Sus scrofa: one gene and its partners. The protein of the gene in region 3 interacts with the protein of the main gene of each other region in a pairwise test. Links are inferred from orthologs where the notes say so. Each region holds a gene or a part of one and is shown on either strand. Other genes may lie near its edges.

The links.
Region 1: the proteins of CCND3 (region 3) and RBL2 interact in a two-hybrid assay, tested with the Homo sapiens proteins (2 studies listed by BioGRID). The link is inferred for Sus scrofa from reciprocal best matches to the Homo sapiens genes CCND3 and RBL2.
Region 2: the proteins of CCND3 (region 3) and ATF5 interact in a two-hybrid assay, tested with the Homo sapiens proteins (2 studies listed by BioGRID and IntAct). The link is inferred for Sus scrofa from reciprocal best matches to the Homo sapiens genes CCND3 and ATF5.

Annotation. Positions count from the first base shown.
Region 1 is NC_010448.4:31,757,218-31,765,244, forward strand, and holds the end of RBL2 (retinoblastoma-like protein 2), read right to left. Parts: intron 5,067-8,027; coding exon 4,995-5,066; intron 4,599-4,994; coding exon 4,493-4,598; intron 3,647-4,492; coding exon 3,441-3,646; intron 2,859-3,440; coding exon 2,694-2,858; intron 2,198-2,693; coding exon 2,027-2,197; 3' UTR 501-2,026; downstream 1-500. UniProt on the Homo sapiens protein: Key regulator of entry into cell division. Directly involved in heterochromatin formation by maintaining overall chromatin structure and, in particular, that of constitutive heterochromatin by stabilizing histone methylation.
Region 2 is NC_010448.4:54,940,757-54,948,983, reverse strand, and holds the start of ATF5 (cyclic AMP-dependent transcription factor ATF-5), read right to left. Parts: upstream 3,918-8,227; 5' UTR 3,830-3,917; intron 3,604-3,829; exon of another isoform or gene 3,488-3,603; 5' UTR 3,325-3,487; exon of another isoform or gene 3,144-3,324; intron 1,978-3,143; 5' UTR 1,859-1,977; coding exon 1,681-1,858; intron 132-1,680; coding exon 1-131.
Region 3 is NC_010449.5:37,176,648-37,184,874, reverse strand, and holds the start of CCND3 (G1/S-specific cyclin-D3), read left to right. Parts: upstream 1-2,412; 5' UTR 2,413-2,797; exon of another isoform or gene 2,798-5,605; intron 5,606-8,227. Other genes in the region: TAF8 (transcription initiation factor TFIID subunit 8), read right to left, coding at 1,333-1,489, 2,272-2,316. UniProt on the Homo sapiens protein: Regulatory component of the cyclin D3-CDK4 (DC) complex that phosphorylates and inhibits members of the retinoblastoma (RB) protein family including RB1 and regulates the cell-cycle during G(1)/S transition.

The DNA of each region.
Region 1 (8,027 bases), on a different chromosome or scaffold from region 3:
TTTCCTGCTGGACTTGGGCTGGTTACAGCTGACCAGTGGCAGAGGACTGCGTGCAGAGTAAAGCGGTGTGAACGGGGACTGGTGTCAGTGTTGTCCATGTATGCTTAGGTTCTAACAGCAAGTTTTGGAAACCTCTCTTTACGTAATGCATTACTTCTGTCAGAAGTGTCTTTAAGGTGGTTATCTAGTTCAGTACTCCAAATTATTGGGGACCTTGAGGCTTAAAGTATTTTTCTGAGTATAATGCTAAAGGTAAGTTGCATTCATTTAAACTAATAGAGTAGACAGAGTTCAGCACTATCTAATGATTTTTAAATCAGCGGTTTTAGTTGTACATGGAGAGGAGAGGTAGAGGGGAGCAGTTTCCATAGCTAATAGCACTTTTAAGCGGAAGATCCTTGGAACCTCAGTCTTCAGCCTACTGTGTTACTGATACACAGACACTGTCACTGAGGGACATACTAGGTGAGTGAGAGGAAACCAGAACACTTGTTCATAGCTTTTTTTTTTTTTTTTAAAGCAAATCACTCACTGTATTTTTATGGCTGGAGGGAGAAAAAGTGTTAAAATGGTTTCTAATGAAGTCAGATATTTAAATGATGAATGACTAATGTGTTTTGTAGAGACAATAAACCAATAAATGATTGTTCTTTGTCATTTATCCAGGAAACTGAAACCCTTTTCTCAATATAACTAAACAAAGAGTAATTTATAAACGCTTTATTGAAAAATACACTTATTTTCATATAAAATTACAGTAGCAGTATCTTGAGAGGTTTTTATAAATATTTTTGCAGAACACTATTCTAGGTGAACAGTGTGAGTTCCGTATTTCTTTCAGAGCAATATGAAGTTACCTAGTAACTTTGTTTATACTGATTCAATTTACAATTGAATTTTCTCCCTAATAAGATTATTCAACTTGAAAACTGCTGGAATAATAATGATTAATAAAGGTGTGTGTGTATATATATATGTATATATATATAATTCAATAGCTGTTAAATTAGCATTTTCTAATTTGTAAAAACGGTACTATGTACTAATAAAACCCCAAATTCTCCAACCTATTTTATTTTTTTAACTGCCAGGAACACACCCAAAGATATTTAAAATATTTCACCGTAATAAAGACACGTGTCTTTTGGATAACTACCTCCTAAAGGAAGAGGTCATAATTTTTCATAATCCCTTAATTCAACTTGATTTAAAATCTTTACTTAGCCCGTTGATCCTTATTAACAAAAAACTGGAGAATTTAAAACACATGTCCAAAAGGTAGCTACTGGGGCTTTAACAGTTTTTAAAAAAAGTACAAAAGCATCAAAGAGGACACTGAATTAAGTTCAGCCTAGAAGTTTTGTACTTAATAAAGTTCACATTGTAGAAAGTGCCATTGCAAATATACAGCAAAATCTGGGTTACAAAATCATGCTTCTTACAGCCCTAAAGTGCCACTTCTTATAGGTTCACTCACACATTGCACACAATCAAGCACTTGTCACACTGCACCACACCTAATGGGGAGAGGAAAGAAATTACACAAAGGGAATGGGAGACTTGGACTAATAACCTAGGACCTCCAAATCGGGCACTATCTTGCTACCTTTTAGGAATGCAAAAATCTTTCACTCCTACCAAATTTTTTCGGACAAAATACCTAGTTTTTGTTTGGCTTTTCATGAGGGCTAGAGCTGACCACAAAACAGGTAGGAATGAATTAAAACACAGTTTCTCTGCTGGAACATGTTAACAGAGACCTCTCCCACAGATATCTGAGTACACTCTGTTCTCTGCGATACTTGTAATAGCTTTGCCAAAGAGTTAAAAAAAAAAATCCAAGTTTGGATTCTCAGCAGCCTTAATGGCAAGCACTGAGTGGTAGGAAAAAAGGCAGCTGGGATGAGTAAAAATATCCTAAAGATACTGGAAGGATTAAGGAAAAGAGCCCTACATTCTAGCATGCATTAAATGATGCTGCTAAACAGAGTTTGTGAAAAGACAGGTTCAATACAACAGACTAACCTCAGTGGGAACCTCGGTCATTAGCTACATCTTGGAGACGGCGTAATAAGGCAGAATGATTTTCTGGGCAGATTCTTTTTGCGGGTGATTCACTTCCATCTTCCAAAAGAATCCCTCTCTTTTTGGTTGGAGTTTCTCCTGTCCGTATCATACTGTTAATTTCTCTCAGTCTCTGGGGTGGGGATAGATATAAAAATATTAAAATTCTAATATACATAGTTCAATGTTAAGTCAAAGATCCTCCAATGAGTTAAGCAGTTTACCTTGAGGAGTTTAGACATCTTTATAGAGGAAAGAACTACTAAATTTAATATCCTTCCAATTTCACCTCTCAGCTGGCTGAGATTGATAACTTGGATAGAGGCAGAGTATTCGTTTTTTAAAAAAAGCTCCAGAGGTGATTTTGATATACACTTTACCACAGTGCAAAAGTTGACAAATTTGTGGGGTTTTTTCCCTTTCACAAAAGTTAGAGGATCACACTGCTATGCCATATTTAATCAATTTCATACACCTCCATTTTCATTTCTTTAAAAATAGCATGACTTTATACAGTATTATGCCCACCCAATGTTAACTCATTTTTAAAGCAGCCATGGAACTTCACAAGAGAAGCCTTAACTCAAGTATGTGGGGTTAGTAAAGGCCAAGATTTAGATTAGGCTCACCTTTGAAGGACTGTTGCTGAAGTAGTAGAAAATCTTTTCTCGAGGAGAAAGCATTGCTTCACTTTTATGTGGGGAAATGTAGACAGGATGATTTTGAGACAACTGTATTCGGCGAGGCGAGCCTGATCTTATAAATGGATAGGGAGAGAGTGGAGGAGCATCCATCTGTTAAAAAAAATTGCAATTTTTAAGAAAGGTAAAGTTTCTAACTAGTTTTTTTAAAATGGTTTTTAGTGTAAGTGTGAAAAGGTGTAATAAACCCATAGCTTTATGAATGGTGGATAGTGATGTATTAGCAACATTTAAAGCCCTACCAGTAGCAAACATTTAAGGGCTTACTTTGTGACAATCACTGTTTTAAGCATCTTTAACGCATTCTGTCATTTAATCTCACAACAACCCTATAAGCAAGGAACCTCCATCTGTTCCCATTTTATGTATGAGGAAACGAGAGGCACCAAGAAAGTTAAATAATACACAAGGTCACCAGAGCTGGTAAGTTTTGGATAATTTCTACTATACTTTGAGAGAAGCCAAATAAACCCTGTTACTCTTATTTATTAATGCTTCACAACAATAGAAATTGTTAGGCAAATAATTTCTGTTAGAGACTTCCTTAGTCTTAACAAAAGAATTATATGTAAAACTAGTTTACAGAGAAGCAGCTCAAACATAAATGATTCCTCAAAAAAAAAAGGTGATTCCTCATAAGTGAAAAAAGTATGAAATAATTCTCAGTATACTTACTACATTTGCCTGTGAGTACTTCAGGGCAAATGTTTTAATTTGTTTTATGTAGATGCTGTTGTAGAACTGAATAAGATCTCCCCTCTCCTCCTCTTCCATGTCACTGTTGGCACCTGTGAGGCGAGTAGGTGTAGGAGGGGCACTGCTGGGCTGTGGAACAGGCAAGGTGCTGCTTGACCTCATGACAGGACTGGAGTCTCTACTGGCTGCAACCGGTAGAACAAAGTGTTGAAGACTGCTAATGCAGACTATTTTTTAAAAAATTCAGTCAGGAGGTCCTGTTTTGGCTCAGGAGAAACGAATCTGACTAGTATCCATGAGGATGTGGGTTTGATCCCTGGCCTTGCTCAATGGGTTAAAGATCCAGCATTGCCATGAGCTGTGGTGTAGGTCACAGACATGGCTCAGATCCCATGTGGCTGTGGCTATAGCAGGCAGCCACAGCTCCCATTCGACCTCTAGCCTGGGAACCTCCATATGCTACAGGTGTGGGCCTAAGAAGCAAAAAAAAAAAAAAAAAAAAAAAAATTTCATTTAGATACACTACCTGCTCTACCTGTTTAAATGGCAGCAGGTGGGTGCTCTATTCTACATACCAGGGAGTGAAGCACAGATACTATTAAGTACTAACTTATACTACCATGCTATTACCACAGCAAAGGTTTACTGAGTAGTTTTAACTTGATACCAAGTTTTTTAGGACCTGAGCTTTGCATTGACTGGTGTCAACCAACAATTAAGGATGGTATTTCCATAGCATGGTTTCAGTGGACATGCCACATTTTTCTGGAACTCAGGTCAAAAAAATGCCTCACTTCTCTAATTTCCCAGGAGAAAAATATTATGCACAACGTGTCTCAAAGCCCTGGGATAAAGGATAAACAACTTTGCTACTAAATTTAGAGTTTGGTTTATTGTTCCAACAAATCTTTTGCCAATAAAATACTTTCATGGCTTCCATAACAGTAATTTCATTTAGTAATCCTTAGTCTTCTAGGGCTAAAACAAGAGAAACTCCTAATTTTTTATAAGTTCATAAAGATCCCACTTACTTCTATCTTTGTTCAGTTCTGTTGGAGAATTCTGATGACTTCTACTATCACTGCTGCCAGAATTTCTCCTTTTCCTTTTCCCTTTTATCAAAACGCTTCTATACACCTTTAGAAAGATTATAAGAAAGGAACTGAAATGAGTATTTATCAAGCACATTCTAGACTATTTGATATTAACATGTTATTCAATTCTCACAATTCCATATAGTAATCGTTGTCCTACTCATGGGAGGTTAATAAGTACACTCAAGGTTATATATCTTAGTAAATAACAGATATTGGATTTATACCAGGGTCTATCAGGCAGTACTTCAAGGTACTGCCTACAATACAGTAATAGTATCCAACCATAAAATCAAGTCATTCTAAGTCAAATGCAAAGATCTCACAGTCTTAGGTGTTTATTCTGGAGAAAAGGCCATAGAATCAACTGTAGTTAATTTTTTCATATTCATCAAAGACTTTTATCTTTATTTTCAGCTCTAAAAGAAAGTGTAGTTACCTGGCTTCGGGCTTGTGGCTGAGTCCTATAGCAACGCATAATATTCTGGAAGGACTTGTCTTCTTTTGTGACCTGACAAAGAATAAGAGTATTCTGAGAAATAATTTGATTTTTCGCATAATACTTACTATGAGATGTTCCATGAAATGGGTGAAAATTGTATTTAAAACAACCATTTAAAGTGTCTGGAAGGGTACATATAGGATTTAAGATTTGCAAGATGAAAAAGTCCTGGAGATCTGTTTCACAATAAAGTGAATATACTTAAAAAATAGTGTCTGGAAATGGCCCTGAAGGCATACAACAAATGAGGAAAAAAATATTCAAGAAAATCTACTAAAATCCAGTTAGCAACAGAAGGAATTAACGGTATGTGAACCCAGATCTAGAATAAAAAATTACAGTAACAAAAAATTCACTGGAGGATAAAAGAGATTTGAATTTGCAAAGAAAAAAAAAAAAAGCAAACCTGAAGCTAAAGTTGTGCAATCCAAAAGAACAGAGAAAAAAAGTTAACAGAGCTTCAAAGAAATATGCCATGCCACTAAGCACACCAAGATACACATAATGGGAGTAACATAAGGAAAGAGAAGCAGAAAATAATTATCAAAGGCCAAAACCTTCCCAAACTTATTTTAAAAATAATCTACACATAAGTAGGATAAATGTGAAGAGGTTAATGCCCAGATATAGAGTAAAAAAGCTGAAAGCCAAAGAAAGGGAGAAAAAATCTTGATGGCATCAGGAGAAAAGCAACTTTTTGCTTTCTAGGAAACCCCAGTAAGTAACATCTTTTCATTAAAAACTATGGAGGCTATGATGGAATTCCTGTCATGGTGCAGCAGAAATGAATCCACCCGCAACCACGAGTGGCAGGTTTGATCCCTGGCCTCGCTCAGTGGATTAAGGATCTGGCATTGCTATGAGCTGTGGTGTAGGCTGCAAATGCGGCCTGGATCTGGCATTGCTGTAGCTGTGGTATAGGCCAGCGGCTACATCTCCCAATTTGACCCCTAGCCTGGGATCCTCCATGTGCCGCAGGTGTGGGCCTGAAAAGACAAAAGAAACAATGGAGGCTATGAGACAACGGACAAGGTAAAACCTAAGAATCTAGCATCCAGCAAAGTTATCTTTCATAACTGAAAGTGAAATCTCAAAGACAGAAAATGTGCTACTGGCACAACCATCTTGCATGAAAATACTGAAAGTTCTTCAAACTAAAAGTGACCCCATACAGTAATTCGAATACACATGAAAAAACAAAGGGCAATGGTAAAGATAACTGTGTAGCTGGAAAGACAGTAGAAAGTACATATTTTCAACTGACATTTTAAAAATTATATACATATAATTCATACATATATGAATGTGATATATATTTGCCAAAAACAGCACAAAGACAATGAAGAGCAAAGCTGTACTGTCCTGAAGGAAATGACTATAGACGACAACTCAAATCCCCATGAGCCAATAAAGAGAATCATAAATGGTAAATAAGGTTAATGTAACAAAAGCTATAAATGAATATTTGTATTCATTTTTTCTCTCAGCTCTTAAAACTTATAAAAAATGTATTTTTAAATTTATAACGTTTATGGATAAATGTGTAGCAGTATTATCACATAAATAACAAAAAGGAAAGTTACATAGGAGGTACAATTCTATGTACCACTGAATTCAGTATACATTTGAAGCTGGATTTCATAAATAAAGATTATATGTGGCAGTTGGAGGAAGTGGGGAGATTGATCAAAGGGGACAAGCTTCCATTTATAAGATGAATAAGTTCTGGGGATCTAATAAGCAGTATGATGACTATAGTTTAACTGTACTGTTTGAGAGTTGATCTTAAATGTTCTTACTACCAAGAAAAAGCTGGGTAATGGATGTTAACTAACCTATAGTGGTAATCATAATGCAACATACATGTGTATCAAATCATCACACTGTACATTTTAACACAACGTGGCAGGTCAATTATATCTCAATAAACCTGGAGCAAAAAGAGCACAAAGGGGAAAAAAAAAAAAAACATGCAAGCCCTAAAGAAACCACTAAGAAAAAAAAATAGTTAAAAAGTCATTACTCGGAGTTCCCGTTGTGTGGCTCAGTGGTTAACAAACCTGACTAGTAACCGTGAGGTTGCAGGTTCGACCCCTGGCCTCACTCAGTGGGTTAATGATCCGGTGTTGCTGTGAGCTATGCTGTAGACTGGCAGCTGTAGCTCTGATTAAACCCCTGCCCTGGGAACTTCCATATGCCACAAGTGTGGCCCTAAAAAGACAAAAGACCAAATAAAAGTCATTACTGAAATTAAAATGCTTCATTATTTACCTGTAGTAAGTGAAAGTAGTAAAGGAGGACTAGAGTATAAGACATAAGACATGCATAAAAAACAAAAAAATGACAGATGTGATAAATCCAGTTAAAACTAATGTTGAATGTGAATGGATTAAACACCACAATCAAAAAGCAGAAATTGTTAGATTGGATTTAAAAAAAGAGATATAACTACACTCTGTCTATAAGAGACACCCTTTAGATTAAGATATACAAAGAGATTTGAAAGAAAAGGATGAAAAGATACATTATGCCCAACAGCAACCTCAAGAAAGGTGGGGTGGCTATTCAACTATCACACTATAAAATAGACTTGAAAACAAAAAAAACTCCGGTTGTGGCTCAGTGTGCTAAGAACCTGACATAGTGTCCTTGAGGACACAGGTTTGATCCCATCCTTGGCCTCTCAGTGGGTTATGGATCCAATGTTAACTCAGCTGTGGTGTAAGCCAGCAGCTGCAGCTCAGGTTCAACCCCTAGCCCGAGAACTTCCATATGCAGCACATGTGGCCACTTAAAAGAATTTACTAGAGATAATGAGAAACATTTCCTAATGATGAAAGTATCAATCTATAAAGAACCTCTAACAATTAAAAACACATACACCTGATAACAGAGCGCCAAAATACATGCGGTAAAAACAGAAATGAAGACAATTCAATAATAGCGTATTCAATACCCCATTTTCAAAAT
Region 2 (8,227 bases), on a different chromosome or scaffold from region 3:
GGAGGCCATAGCTTCCAGGTCGGGGGCAGGTGGGGAAGTTGCGGAGAGGGCACCCGAGGGCAAGGGGGGCTCCAGAGGGAGAAGGGCTGTAAAGTCCACCCGCTCGGTCATCCAGTCAGAGAAGCCGTCACCTGGAGGATTGGAGAGGGACAGAAAGTTCCTTGAGTTCCCAGTCCTTCAGCCAGCCAGGTCTCACCCCTGTCCGCCTCATTCACCCCATTCATTCGGTAAAACCAGCAACCAGTCAATCAGTCAACCAACCAATGAATAAACCAAGAGACTAGCCAACTACCCAACCCATCAACCAAACAGCTAACCAGCCAATCAACTGAGTCAACCAACTGCTAATCCACAGACCAATCAACCTATTAACTAAGCAATCAATGAATAAGCCAACCAACCACGACCCACTCAACGAAACAGTCAACCATTTCAAGCCTTTTGTTTGTTTGGTTTGCTTTTTAGGGCCCCACTTGCAGCATGTGGAGGTTCCCAGGGTAGGGATCGAATTGGAGCTGTAGCCACCGGCCTACACCACAGCCACAGCAATGCAGGATCCAAGTCGTGTCTGCAACCTACACCATAGCTCACAGCAACGCCGGATCCTTAATTCACTGAGTGAGGCCAGGGATGGAACCCGCATCCTCATGGATACTAGACAGGCAGGTTAACTGCTGAGCCACGAAGGGAACTCCTCCAACACCCTCACTCTGCACCTGCGGTTTCTTGATTTTCCCTCTAGTTCATTCTCAAATGGCAAACTAGATCACACATAAACACACCTGATTTCATCTTTAATTATTATCGTCTTTTTAGGGCTGCACCTGCAGCATATGGAGGTTCCCAGGCTGGGGGTCGGATCAGAGCTGTAGCCACTGGCCTACACCACAGCCACAGCAACTCCAGATCCTTGACCCACTTTGCGAGGCCAGTGATCAAACCCGAAACCTCATGGTTCCTAGTCGGATTCGTTTCTACTGCGCCACAATGGGCACTCCTCCCCCTGTCTTTTCATGGCTCATTCCGTACCATTTTTTTTTTTTTTTTGGTCTTTTGTCTTTGTTGTTGTTGTTATTGTTGCTATTTCTTGGGCCGCTCCCGCGGCATATGGAGGTTCCCAGGCTAGGGGTTGAATCGGAGCTGTAGCCACCGGCCTACGCCAGAGCCACAGCAACGCGGGATCCGAGCCGCGTCTGCAACCTACACCACAGCTCACGGCAACGCCGGATCGTTAACCCTCTGAGCAAGGGCAGGGATCGAACCCGCAACCTCATGGTTCCTAGTCGGATTCGTTAACCACTGCGCCACGACGGGAACTCCCGTACCATTTTTTAAGCCTCAGCCAAAATGTTACTGCCTTGGAAAGGGTGTCCCAGCTCCCCACTGTAAACTAGTCCTCGCTGTCGCTTTTGAGCTCAGCTACTGTTTCCTGCTTATCCCCACACATCGTCATTTGTCTCTTGTCTGTCCCCAGTAGAGTGTGAGCGCCAAAAGGGTAGGCACCACGTCGGTCTTGTTCCCAGCTGTATCCCCAGCACCTAACAGTGCCTGACATATTATAGGTGCTCAGGAAATATTTATTGAAGGAATAAATACACGAATGAATGAATTCTTCTTCTCCCCTGCCCCCTGACCCCAGCTCACTCCATGACTCCACCTCCATTCTTTGCCTACCCTTACCTGCCAGGGGCTCTCCCCCCCCTGGAAGCCCGCCCTCCAGGGCTCCCCCAAGGACCTCATAGGGGCCCAGGGGGGCAGGGGCCAGGGGGAGTTTCCCATAGTCTACGAGCCAGCCCAGCCCGCTAGCTGGGAGCAGGGTCCTGTCCAGCTCCAGCCCCAGGGTCGCCAGGAGTGACATGGCTGCAGCTCGGGTGCGGGGCACAGATGGCAATGAAGGAGGCTGCACCAACAGCTGGCAGGAGGCTCTGGAGATTACTCAGCTGGGCGAAGACGGGCACCAAGGCGAGAGTGGAGGACCTACGAGTGGGAGACAAAAGTGAGTGGGTTAGGGGCCAGCCTCGCCAACGGCCAAGGCCATGGGGAAACCAAGCGATACCCCCTCAGGTCCCCAGGATTCCTTACCTTTTGGGAATTCTACATCTGCCCTTTCTTTCCTCAAATGGGGACCCCACCCATTCCCAAGGGAATTTTCTTTAGGCCCCGACTTACTTTTCCTCAGAATTCCCTAGACCCAATCCTTCCAATATTGAAACATAATGGTGTCCCAGGGGAATTACCTTAAGACCCTCCCACCCACCCCATAATACTATCTCTCATGGAAAAAAAAAAAAAAAAAAAACACAAAAACCTCAATCCCAGGGGAATTTTCTTCCAGCCACACCTCTTGCCCTAAAACATATCCTTTAGGCCCCACCCTGTCCCTAGATTCCTGCTGTGAATCTGTTCCCAGGGGAATCCCCCTGCCCCGCCCCTTCATCAAAATCCTCCATTCAAATCCCATTCTTCCCTTCGAATTTTGCAGTGGTCTCCCGTCCCCCCAAGCCCTGCCCCCTGGTTTATTAGCTCCACCCTCCCCGACGATTCCCAGAGGCCCCGCCTCTTTCTCAATATAAACCCCACCCCCTCAGCGCACGGCGCGCTTAGCCACGCCCCTTCTCCCAAAGGGTACCCCGCCCCCGCCCCACCCTCCGCGACGTCTCTTATCCTAGCTCCCGTCCCTTAACTGGTCGTTTCTAAGCCCCGCCTTCTCCCCCCGCCCCCGCCCCCGTAGTTGCTTGAAAGAAAGGGAGGGAAGACGTGCTTTTACGCCTGAGCAAACTGGAGGGAGGCGGAGGGTGGAGGGGGGCGGGATGAGAACAGCTCCCGACTCCCCCTCCCCCCACCCCCGTACACGGCTGTCTCGCCGAGGGCCAAAGCGCAGGCTCCAGCCCCAGAGCTGTCCTATTGCCCCCGCAAGGCTCCGCCCTCCTCGGGATCAGTGCTGCGCACGTGCGGCTGCTGCTCGTCAGCCCTTTGCTCCGAGATACAAGCGCCGGTGGATCTGAGCAATCGCTGATTGACAGACTCAATCAGAGCGGGGAGGAGGGGGGAAACCCACCCTCTCTGGGAGCTAGTGCGCAGGCGCAAACGCATGTGGTCGTCTTTAAACGCCAACATTGTCTGGAAGAACGCACCCTCCCCCCATCAGCTGAGTGCGCATGCTCCGCAGCGCGCAAACGGAGCGTCTTGTCTCTTCTGCGCCTGCGCGACCGTGATTCCTCACTCTTGTCTCCCCACCCCCCCGAGCCCGGTGGTGAGGGCCGCGAGCTTGGAAAGGGCGGGAAAGACGGTTGGAGAGGGAGGGGCGAGCGAGCGGTTACTCACTCCATGGCTGCGGAAAGAAGAGGCGGCGGTGGCCTCAGCTGAAGAAAGACGGCAGGAGCGGAGAGCGCAGGCGCGGTGAGCACGGCGACTGGCCGGGGGCACAGAGGGGTCGCGGCTACAGAGCCATGGCTGGAGCTACGCGGGCGGAGGAGGTGTCGCGGTACTGTGAGGAGAGATTGTGATCTGAGGATGGGGAATGAGGCGGCCCGGGGGACTGGGGACAGATATACCGGGGGCGGCGCAGCACGGCGTGCCCGGATCCTTCCGCGCCCCGCCCCGCGCTGCCCCAACCGGGAGGCGGGCTTGGCCTCTAGCCCTCGGGGATCCCGGGGACTGTCCCCCACTTCCGACCAGGGCGTTCAGCCCTCCCCTTCCTCTGACCTGAGGATCTGGCCCTGCTTTGCTCCCGACCCCCTGGACCACCCCCACTCGGGTGGGGCCCCTTTCTCCTTCTGATCCGGGGTCCGGCTTTCTGTTCCCTCTCATTCTGGTGGTTCAGCCTCACCTCTTCCCCGATCCCTGCACGAGTTCATTTCTCCTTTCCTTTCTCTTGCTTCACGAATTTCCGGCCAGCCACGTGCTGATCTCTTCAACTGCCACGGCACTCTGAGAACCCTTGTTGTGGCTTAGGATCTGGTTTGAGTCACAGACCGCGCTCCATTCAAATCGCAGACGGGCGCGGGTGGCCTTGGGCAAATAATTTAAATTCTCTAGCCTCGTAGATAGGGAACTACCTGTAAAATGAGAATAATCACCTCTTCCTAGTGGGGTCGTTTGTGAAAATCCGTGCAGTCGGTGTCTGTGAAACCAGCCCTCCTTCATGCCTGGTCCAACCGCTTTTATTATCCATAACAAGGACCTCTGGGGACCAGTCTCACCCCTTCCAACTCCCCTGGCCAGAGCCCCAGACTCGACCATCCAACACCTGCTAATAGATCATTCTTGTGTCTCCTTCGCTCTAGCATCCCTGCCCTCCCCCATTTCAAACGATGGACGCTCAGCCCCATCCTGCTGCCGGGAGCAAGGCATCATTGCCCAGACTCTCGTGTCCATCCCCTGCTGGCTTCCCCTTAGCCCTTATCCTTAGCACGCCTTTCAGGCCCGTTGGTTCATTCTTCTGTCCCTGCCCCTCACCTAGACGTCCTTTCAAATGGTTTTCTACCTCCGTGCACCCCACCCTCACCCCCAGATCAGTTTTCCACCTTTGCCAGACTTAGGGAGATCTGTAGTTCCATTTGCTGAAAGAGATGGGGCTTCCTGGCCAGTCCCTCCCATTACACAGGGCCTTCCACCAGACCCCGTAGACGAGGGTCTTTGCTGCAAGCCCCTCTCCTCCCCCATTCATCCACATCTAGACGTTACACCTGGAGTACAACTTTTCAGGACTTTGGTGGTGGTTATGAGACTGAGTCAAGATCCAAAGGTGGGAGACCCAGATCTTGAGTTACCTGGAATGATACATGGGCCTCTTTTGTTTTGTTCCATGTGCATGTGCTTTTTTTTTTTCCAGTTTTACTCAAGATATAATTAAACTTTATAAATTTAAGGTGTACAGTATAACAATTTGATTACCCATAAGTTTAGTGAACATTTATCATTTCCTGTAGATGTGAAATTAAAGATATAGAAATAGGGAGTTCCCATTGTGGTGCAGCGGAAACGAATCTGACTAGCATCCATGAGGATGCATGTTCAATCCCTGGTCTTGCTCACTGGGATAAGGATCCAGCGTTGCCATGAGCGGTAGTGTAGGTCGCAGATGTGGCTTGGATCTGGTGCTGCTGTGGCGTAAGCCGGCACCTGTAGCTCCGATTCGACCCCTAGCCTGGAACCTCCATATGCCTTAGGTGCAGCCCCGAAAAAGACCCAAAAAAGTAAATAAATAGATACTTAGAAAAAATACATATTTCTTTTTTTCTTTGGCAACTCCATGGCATATGAGTTCACAGGCCAGGAATCAGATCCGAGCCAAAGGTATGACATATGGAAGGGTTTATTCTCTCTCTCTCTCTCTCTTTTTTTTTTTTTTTTTTTTTTGCTTTTTAGGGCCACATCTGAGGCATATGGAAGTTCCCAGGCTAGGGGTTGAAATGGAGCTACAGCTGTCAGCCTACGCCACAGCCACAGCCATAGCTATGCAGGATCCCAGCCACATCTGTGACCTGCATCACAGCTCACAGCAACACCAGATCCTTAATCCACTGAGCAGGGCCATGGATCGAACCTGCATCTTCATGGATCCTAGTCTGGTTCGTTAACCACTGAGTCACAAAGGGAACTCTGGGTTTATTCTCTTAATAACTTTGATATGTAACATACAGCAGTGTTAATTATACTGATCATTTGATATATTACATACCCAGTACAGGCTGCTCTTCCTACAGGAAGCCCTTTTTGGGATCTGACCCCGTTCCCTTAGAGTACTTCCTGTCCACTGTGCCAGTATTTGAGCACTTGTCCTTTGGGGCCACATTATTACCTAGGCGGCATGGAGTAGTAGTTAAGAGCACAGACTCTGGAGGCAAGTTGTTGGATTCACACCCTGACTATACCCCACTTATTAGCTTCCTGGCAGTTTCGCTGTGCCTCGGTTTCCATTAATAGTGCCAGAACAGAAGTCCTCTGGTGGCCTAGCAGGTTGGGGATCTGGTGTTACCTCTGTGGCTCTGGTTATTACTTGGTGAGGGTTTGGTCCCTGGTCGGGAAGTTTTGTGGGCGCAACCAAAAAAAAAAAAAAAAATAGTGCCAGGATAAAAGTGACTAGAAAGTGCCAGGAGTTTAGTGACTAGAAACATACAGAAAGTGCCAGGAGTTTAGTGACTAGAAACATACAGATGTAAGTGGCTGTCCGTAGTGCCTCCTTCTTAGTGTTGTCTGATATTTAAATGAGTAAATCCAGGCCACCTGCTCATAGCCTAGTTCCTGGCACACATCAGGTGCTACATAAGCGGTTTCTGTTGTTACGGAGGTGGATATGTTTTCTCCATTGCTAAGCCGTAGTGCTTTCAAAGGCCTTTTAAGTGAGAAGTAAGGACCTCCTTCTCCTTGCCCTCCTCAGTGTAGGTACTTGAGCCATAGCAGGTAGGATTAGGGTCGACTCTTGGGCAGGCTGTTGGCAACGAGGGGGCACAGTCCCCCCACTCTTCTCTTGAAAAGACCTTCTAGGTCATGACGGGTGGACTAGGCAGAGTATTTTTCTTTGAATAAACTTTTTATTTTGGAATAATTGTAGATTTATAGAAAAGCTGTGAAGGCCGTGCAGAGGAGTAGAAGTCGGTGCCTTTACATTGCCATGGCGCACTTGTCACAACACTGGAGTCAACATCAGCCCCTTTCTATCGCCTCAACTCCACCTGGTCCTCGGATTTGGCCACTTGTTCCCCAACGCCCCTCCTCTGTTCCAGGATCCCCCCAGGATGCCACGTTACACTTAGTGGTCGCGTCTCCTTGGCTGCCTCTGGTCTGTCTGCGGAGGCTTTTTCAGACTTGCCTTGTCTCAGGATCTCGATGGTCTTGAAGAGTATGGGTTGGGTGCTCTACGGACTGTCTCTCCATTTGGTTTTGCTCGTAGGTGGAGATTATGGGGTTTTGAGGACGGCCAGGTAGAATGCTTTTTAACAACTGCAGACGAACTTAACTGGGTATGGGAGTCATGTTGCCAGTTGCTTGTGGTGTATGCTGACTGAGAAGCCCCTGGTCCCTGCTCCCGGCCCCTTGTGCCTTTCTCTCGCTCCAGCTGCTGGCTCCCACAGAGTTAAGTCCTGATGCCAACTGCCCTACCCAAGCAGCCTGAGTCCCTTCTGCTGAGCGGGTGCCAGCGGGCACTTAGTTCCCCAGCATATTCGAGTTTATGGGCAGTGGGTCGTCAGTGGTGCCGGTAAGCCCGGGTCTTGGCGCCCTGAGCCCTCTCCCCATGCCTGGCCCTGATCTGGATCCATGGCCCCTCCAGGACTCAGATGCCTCCCCCACCCCTACTTCCCAGACACCTCCAAGGGTCCAGTACCCCAGGCCCTCCAACTCCTCAGCTGGGGCTGGGAGCATGGGTGGAGCTGCTGGGGACTCTTTTTCAGTGCGGAGGAGCTAGGTTGGGGAGTGAGGCGGTTATTGCAGGCAGGTTGCATCACCCTGGCTCTTTGATGGGGAGGGGGAGTGGGGGGATTCCCTGGGGGCCCCCCTGCACACCTGGCAACTGGAGCCCTGGAGCTGAGGATCTGGCAGAGGCCCCAGCAGAGCAGGGGAGGGGGCCAGGGAGGGGGGAAGGAGAGCTCCCTGTGCAGGACCCTGAGAATCAGGCCCGATGCCAAGAATGGGCTCAGCTCACAGAGGCTGACCTGCTTGTCTGGCAGCAGGCAAGACTGAGGCCTTGAGAGGTGAGAGGACCTGTGTCCAGTCACACTGCTGCTTACAGCCCGGGCCTCCACGGTACAGCTGCCACCGCCCTGCAGGCCCCGGAGGGAGCCTGTCTCCTCTCAGATGTGTGGGGTCCCTGACCCCCAGCTCAGGACATAGCCTGCCTGGAGGCCACCACGCCTGGACCTTCACTCCAGGTTTGCTGTGGTTCACAATTGCCAAATTCTATTGATTGTGACCTGCCCCTGCCCAGAGGAGGCCGTCCTCACCTGCACTACTGCAGAACCCTTTCCTGGCTTCCCTGCCAAGGTGACAGCCTGGCATGATGAGAGGGACACCAGGATTCCGTCAGATGGATTCAGGTTCCAGCCCTGAGCTCACACCACCTGGTCTTGGCCCTTACTCTGCCTGGACCACTGCCTTCTGAAAAGTGGCTCAGAGCGTGGACTCCAGAGCCAGCCTGCTAGCTTCACATCCCAACAGCACCACTTCTGTGACCTTTGGCAAGTGGTTTCTGTGACTCTGTTTGCTCGTCCATAAATTGAAGATAAGA
Region 3 (8,227 bases):
GGAGTGCAAGGCAGGGTTTTGGAGGCCTGATGTCAGATACTCTGATGGGCAGTAATCACTCTAGCATGCCCCACTGAGTTGGCCAATTCTTTATTTGGCCTGCACTGCAGTTCATCTTCTCCTTCAGCCTAAATCTTTCTCTCACATCCATTCATGAGGCTGATTTCCACTCCATCCCACCAAACGCCTTCGATACCCTCACCCCTCGTTCCACCCCACCCCCAAAAAGGCCCAAATAGGGAAATACATTGCACATGCAGAAGAGCCTATGTGAGATCATTCTATTTCCTCAAACCTCAAGATAATTCATTTTTAAAGTGTCTTCTTGGGGGAGGGAGTGGGGTGGACTGGGAGTCTGGGGTTAATAGATGCAAACTATTGCACTGGAGTGGATAAGCAATGAGATCCTGCTGTACAGCACAGGGAACTCTATCTAGTCACTTATGATGGAACATGATGGAGGATAATATGAGAAAAAGAATGATGCATATATATGTGTGACTGGGTCACTTTGCTGTACAGTAGAAATCGACAGAACACTGTATACCAACTATAATGGAAAAAATAAAAATCACTAATAAAAAAAAGTGTTCTCTTCCCATTTTATAAAACTTACTCACCTTCACCATTTGTTATCACATAGCATTTGATTTTATACTGTATGGCATCTATCTCACGGGAATTAATCCTGATTCTTCAACAAAATTGTGAGTTCTTTGAGCAGAGGGAACAGTGTAATAGCAGCACCTACAGGTCATCAAGAGCTGACAATGTTCCCAGCTTTGACCGTTTTACGTATACATCTCATTCATATTCACAACTCTGTGAGGTGCAAATTATCCCACTGCATAAATGAGGATATTGAGGTTCAGGAGGTTTATGGTTGATGGCTTACCCAAGCTATTAAGTGGCAGAGTGATGACTTACACCGAGGTCTAAAGATTCTAGAGCCTATAGATCACTTTGCTAGGTTCTTCTTTTTGTTTTTGTCTTTTTGCCTTTTCTAGGGCTGTTCCTGTGGCATATGGAGGTTCCCAGGCTAGGGGTCTAATCAGAGCTGTAGCCACCGGCCTACACCAGAGCCACAGCAACACGGGATCCAAGCCGCGTCTGCGACCTACACCACAGCTCACAGCAACGCCGGATCCTTAACCCACTGAGCAAGGCCAGGGATCGAACCCGAAACGTCATGGTTCCTAGTCAGATTCGTTAACCACTGCGTCACAAGGGGAACTCCACTAGGTTCTTCTTTTTCTTAAATCCTAATACTCTCTCAAGACAGAGCACAGATGTTTGGTTGACTCAGAAGGCCCCTTGTTTCCTGGTACTTACAGCTCTGCAGCATCTCTGTCAGTGTTTCCACAGATGCTTTCTCAGCGCTCTCAAACCCTGCCTCTGTTAACAGGGAGCTCACAACCACTTGCAGAGTTCGCCTCCGGGCCAGATGGTAGTTATCAGCAGGGTTAGTGGACTGTTTACTTCCTGATCTCTGTAAATCAGCAGCCCAGAAAGAGAATACTTTCATCCTCAGGACGAGGATGCAGTCATGTAGTTCACATATTGTCAATGGCAAACAAAGGTTCTTTTGCTAAATCTTTATGTATCAGTGTGGTAGCTCCTGATGTTTAGACTTACAGCTCTTCGCCAAATAACTGAGCACCCAAGTGGCTCTAAATTCGAAAACAGCCTTTCTGCCTAGGTAAAACTTATCAATTACAATAGTACAAAATGGCCGTTTCCTACTTTCTATTTTGGATTATCTGAATATATAGCTGAAGAAACATGCAGGATAGAATTGAATTCATTGGTCCATCTCCTAGAAAAAAAGTAATCTCTCTTTTGTCCCTCCCATCTCCACACCATTAACGAGGAAAATTAAAACAACAAACAACACATGCTGCTGAGTAGAGGAGGGCAAATGATAAGAACATCGACAAATTAAAAAGCTAAATATTTTGAAACAGGAATCCCTCCCAACTTTGGCGGGCCAATAAGAAGGCGAAAAGAGCCCCACTGGACCAATCAGGAGGTGTTCCGGGTTCCCAACCCCCAACAGAGAATGAGCCAATCAGTACACAGGTCCACCAACTCCCGAGGCCGCCGCCAAGTCTCGAGGAGGAGGAGGGGGGCATATACGGCCTGAAAGACCTTCCTCCACTCAGAGCATGTGGTGGGGCCCTATTTCTGGGTGTGAACATGTTGCCAAGGCTAGGGGGACATTACAGAATCCCCAGGCTCTCTGGGCTTCCGCCCCGCGCCTCCCGCCCTTACCGTTCCGGAGGCCCCGGCCCCGGCAGTGGCCGCCGCGTCGGCCATCTTGCTCTGGCGTAATGTGCGCGAGCGCACGGCAGGATGGGACTTGTAGTCACCCGGCGGGGAGGAACCGCGAGGGGGCGGGGCCGCGCGCCCCGTTGGGCTTTGTGGGGCCCAGCCGGGTCGGGGGTGAGTCTGGTTATCCCGGTTCACGTGACCTGTGAACGGTGGGTTCAGCGAGCCCCGGAAGTGGCTAGGAAAATGAGCCCTCGGTTTCACACCTATTTAAAAACGAAATCGTTTTTCATAAAAAGCACATCCCTGGAACGCTCCAAACTTGCCTGATTGTTAGCCACACCTGGCTAGGTCCGGCGGATCCCCGTGACTTTACTCTCTGGAGGAGGGGTCTTGGGCATCTGTATTCTTAAGTTCTCCAAGTGAGTCTCCTGAGCCTGGATATTTGGGGAAGCTTTGTTTTGTGCTGACGGACCCAGAGCCAGCCAATGGCCCACTTGGAACGAGAGCCAGCAGTCACGTAATCCAGGTGTGCCACTGCATCCGGCTGCCTTCTCGCCCTCAATTAACCCTCAGGTATTTTTGGGGCGAGCCGGGAGGCGTCGGCGGTAGGAGGCTGTCCGGTGCCTGCCTCACTCCCAGGCCGTGGAGTCTACGTAGTGCCTGTGGTTTTCTGCGGTTCACTCGCGGGTCAGCCCCTCTGGATGGGGGTCCTTCATGCACCGCGCCTCGTCTGTCTCCGTTTGCGGGTGCCCGGCAGCTCGCAGAGGCTGGGTTTGAATCTCAGCACTCGCCAGCTGTGGGACTTCGGGCAAATTACCTAACCTCACTTTGCCTCAGTTTCCTCTTTCGTGAAATTAGGGTGGGATGGGTAGCCGCGGGGGAGGGAATAAGCTAATATACACAGAGTTTATCACTGTGCAGACTGAGAGTAAGAGGTCAAGAAGCAGCGCCTAATGTTATTTATTTCTTGCGTGGCGAGTGGATGAGCAGAAAACGCTCACATGCAGAAGTCGGGGAAACCTGCGCCACGCCTGCCCCGCCGCGCGCACCTGAGCGTGGGGGGCGCCCGGTCCCCTCACCTGGGGCACAGGGGGCAGGTCTGACGGTCGGGGTCGCTGCGCGGGGTGAGCCACCCGGAGAAATCGGGCCCCAAACCTGAGTTGAGCAGAGCACCCAGCCCCTTTGTCTCCTCCGCCCCCCCTTCCCCACTTCCTGCCCAGCTTTAAACTCGGGATTGGCGGCGCGGCGCCGACTTTGTAAACACGCCGCGCCTGCGGCGGTGGAGACTGGTTCTGTTTGGGCGTCTGGGGGAGGGGTGCACGCCCCTCCCCGCGGCTGGAGGTGGCGACCCCCCACCTCGCCAAAGACAGAAACCAGAGGCGGCGGCGGGAGAGTGTCTGCGGCCACGGCCAGTGCTCCGGGGGGCTCACCTGCCGAGGAGGTAGGCTTGAAGGCTGGAGAAGCCAAGATAGATGGGTGTCAGCATCTCCCCGCTTCGCTGGGGCCTTCGAGCTGAGGCGGGACACCTGGGCGGGGAGTCGGAGGTGGCGACCTGATCAGCCTCCTCGATGTCTCTCAAAGCTCGGTTCACTTTCTCTCTGAGTTGCAGAGGCTGAAAGGCAGAGAGCTCCCCCAAAGCTCTGAACTTTCTCTGTGTCCACACAGGCCCTCTTCAAACTGATCTGGAAGCCTAGTGACTTCACTGGGCTGTCTGTCGTCCTTCTTCATAATTCAGAGATGGGGTGGGAGGCAGTAGGGGGGCAGACCCAGTGTGGGCAGCGAGCCTTGGGGGTCCTCCTGCCAGCCAGGGCTGAGGGAGGAGGCCAGAGGACTGGAAGGAGGAGCCTCTCAGTGGGGGTCCCTTTGGTGTCTGCGGGTTACACAAGTGACGGCTTTAGCCTCTTCTGTGTCTTTTAATGTGTCAACAAGAGGATTAACTGAGGAAATTGGTTGCTATTATTCAGAAAGCATTACGGTATTCATTTGCACACATTGAGCGCCTAGTATGTGTCTGGGATGGTGTGTGGGCGCTGAGGGTGCAGTGATGTTATTTGTCCACAGTGATCTAGCCTGGGTCATAGAACACCAGAGATAAGGTGCCAGGTTGGGGTGGCTGGGAAGGCTTCAGAGAGAAGAGGACATTTGAGTTGGCTTCTGAATGATGACTAGTCCCCAGGCAGAGGTGTGATGGGAAGTCTTTGCTGGGCACTTATTGATTCTGCAGAGCTGGACTCGCCCCTGACTGTGGCATTGGGCCTTGGAAAACAGTGGGCACCCAGAAGCCGTCTCGGCATTCTTTAACCCACTGTCTAGACATGAAGAAGAGATAGGAATGTAACAGGATGACTTTAGGGAAAGGCATGTGTCCGGGCTGGTCCCCAAGAACCCAGAAATTTCCAGCTGGACGAAGCTAGGAGAGTCCACCCCAGGGGTGATGTAACAGTCCACACAGTCCTGGGGCACCACCCACTCCCCGTCCCTGGATGCTGGGACTGCGTCCTCTACCAAGTCCTTGCACTGTGCCCTTTCTCTTTGGGACCAGAGAGTGAAGAGAACTGGATTCCCCCCATGCTTCCCTGTAGGTTCTTCTGCTTTTTCAGTCCCCAGGCTCCCTTGGGAGATGGCTGACACAGCAATGGATTCAACCATCCAACACCTGTTTGCTGTGGCCACACTGTCTGCACAGGACATAATGGTTGACAAGTCAGAGCCTCTGCTCCCCTGGACTTTAGGATCAAAAGCGACTCTGAGAATTCCAGCAGGAACCTAGTCTGTCCGGTCCTTGAGCCCATGACCTCCGAGTGTCTTCTCTTTGCCATTTCCTTCCCTAAAGGGTCCAGAGCAACAGCTAGGGCTTCTATAGCACTGTCAAGTACCCTCCTAAATGGTTTTGGTGTGATGTCTGGTTTAATTCTTCTGCCCGTCCTGTGAGGTGAGCGCTAGGATCATCTCCATCTTCTCGTTGAGGAAACAGGCACAGCGACCATTTTCCTAAAGAGGACACCAGGCGTAAATGGCAGGGCTGGGATTTGAACCCAGGTCGCTTGACTTGGGAGACCTGGGTCAGCTGACCTGTTCTTAACCATTAGGCCAGTCTGCCTCCTTGACCCACCACATGGGATGTGAGCCTTGAGCCAGGAGCTTAGATGTTTCCGAAAGGAAGCTGTGGTCCTGTATCTCAGGCGATACAAAGGAGAGCAGCAATCTGTTAGCTGAGCTTGGGTGCTGGTGCTATTTTCAGGGAGCTCCAGGAAGCCTGGAGAAGGGTTATCCGGACAACGCAGAGCTGGTATCCTTTGCTCATGGCCGTGTGTGTGTGTGTGTGTGTGTGTGTGTGTGTGTGTGTGTGTGTGTGTGTTTTATGTGTTTTCCTGAATGTGCATGTGTTGTGTGTTTTTCAGTAAGCCTTTGATGCAAAAAAGATGCAAGGAGGTGATGTGCCAGAATCTGGGGAGATGGGAAACCAAGCTTCCTCTTTTGTTGGGAATCTGTAACAAGAGCAAAGACCCTCATATTCTAGACTCCAAGGGGAACGGATCCCAGTTGGTAGCTGAGCAGGGAGGATGGTCGGAGAGCGGAGTCAATCTTAAGATGCGCACCTTTCCTCCCTGCAGTTGCTGCCTCCCAAAGTTGCATGAGAGCATCTAACCCCCCTCCTCTAGGCAGGCTGGGACCTTGCCCCTGGGTTCTTGGGGACCAGGCCACAGGACAGAAGTTCTATGGCTTTCAGCCATTTTCCCATCCCTTTCATGAACTCTCGCTTTCTCACATGAGCCCTCTGAACAGAGCAGATCTGGGGAGGCCCAGGAGCTGCCCCTCTCTGCCTGCAGTCACACCACCTTTAGTGTCTGTCTTTGAGGGAGGGGTGTGTGTTGGGGGTGGGGTGTTAGTGCCGGGAGTAGAGCGGGGCCGATCCGCGGTCGGTTGGTCGCAGGTAAAGCGGGATGTGACGGTCAGAACTAGGTAGACCTCCAGGCTGCTCTTCTCCACGCCCACCTCCCTCCCTCTCCGGGAATAGGGTGAGGTGTGGTGGCAGCCTTGGCACAGGCCCCCGCCCCCGGAGCTGCCTTCTCTGTTGAGAACAGGTTGTACTCTTGAGAAACCACAAGAGGAAGTTTAGGGAGCGCTGGGGGTGGGGAAAGTTCTGGGGCCCCTGCCAAGTTTCCCTTTCTCTGCTGAGTGGTAGGTGTGTTTATTTTGGTGTGTTTCTCTTGCCCTCAAAGACATTTAAATTTTAAACCCACTGAGTTTCACAGAGCTGTCAAGGCCTGTTCCGTTACAGTGTGTTTGTCTTGGAGGGGGTGAGAGTAGTCAGAGACACCCCTGGAAATGGCTTTGCAACAAGGTACTCAGTTTTTGGATTTCACCTCGGATTTGTGCTGGTTAGGAAAGGCCAGCTAACTTCACAAAGTCTTTTCTCGTCTCTGCCCTTTCACCTCCCTCTTCCCCAAAGCACTCCCTACAGCCTCAAACACTGGACAGTGTGGTTATAATGGCCACTTGGGAGCCAAATGATGTTGCCAGGAGCTGTCCTATGTGTTCCACCTGCCTTATCGCCTTTAATATTCACCATAACTCCAGGTAGTAAATGCCTCTATCCCCAATTTACAGATGAAGAGACTAAAGCACAGAAAGGCTTAGAATCTTGCCTGAGGTCACACAGCTAGTAGGTGGCAGAGCCCAGATTTGAACACTGGTCTGACTTCAGAGCCTGAGCTCTTGAGGTCTATTTAACCCTCAAATCAGAGCATCAACGTCTTCAGCATACCAAACCCCACACAATAGGAGGTTGAGATCTAAAGATGTTTTTAAATGGTGCTGCTAGTGTTGGGAGGGGGCGACTTGGGTATAGAATTGGAAGAGAGATTCTCTGAAAGTTAATATATGAAAAAAGGAGTTCTTGCTGCGGCTCAGCAGGTTAAGAACCCAACATAGTGTCTTCGAGGATGTGGGTTCGACCCCTGGCCTGGCTCAGTGGGTTAAGGATCCGGCAGCTGGGATCTGGAGTTGCTGTGGCTGTGGTGTAGGCCGGCAGCTGCAGCTCCAATTAAACCCCAGCCTGGGAACCTGCATATGCCGCAGGTGCATCCCTAAAATAAATGCATGCATGCATGCATGCATACATAAATAAATAGGATAACTGGAGTTCCTGCTGTGCCACAGTGGGTTAAGAATCCACCTGCAGCTGCTCCAGTCACTGTGGAGGCTCGGGCTCGATCCCTGGCCAGGTGCAGTGGGTTAAAGCATCCTGAGTTGCTGCAGTTGCGGCTCAGATTCAATCCCTGGCTCAGGCTAGTGCGGCCAGTAAAAAAAAAAAGAAAAGAAAGAAAGAGAAGAAAACCGAGGGAACGGAAGATGCAGTGGGTGAAAGGTTGAGGCCAAACTCTGGAATTTTGAAGCACAGGGGAGAAGATGTAGGAGGGATATTGGAGCTGCATTCAAACATTTGAAGGCTGCCTCTGGCACCCCCAGGTAGGGGTCTGGTGGAGGCAGACTTCCAAAAAGCATAAGCGCATTCTAACAAATAATTGCCTAATCCCCTTCTGCAGAAGTGACTTCCTCTCTAAGGGAATCTAGAGCACCTGCTGGGGAGGGGGTCCTGCCCTCCGGAAGCTCTCAAAACCCCTTCACCTCTAAGCCTCCCCAAATGATTGGTTTTTCACGGCTTCCTTGCACGCTACTCCCTGGCCCATGGTGGTTCCCATCTGTCCACCAGGTGGTGCTGTTGCCCAGCGTGTGGCTCCTGGGCTGCTGAATGGGGTCAAGAGCGCCACCTGGTCCTTCCGCCACCAGCTAGCTGGTTTCCTGGGGCCTTTCCCCAGCCCCATCCCAAGCTAGCTACACACCAGGACTCAGGGAGCCACTTCTGACCCAGCACAGCCCCCATAAAACGCACTCTCAGGTCCCCTCTGGGTTGCAGCCAGAACATGCCGGCCTCCGCCCCTGGGGCAGGCTC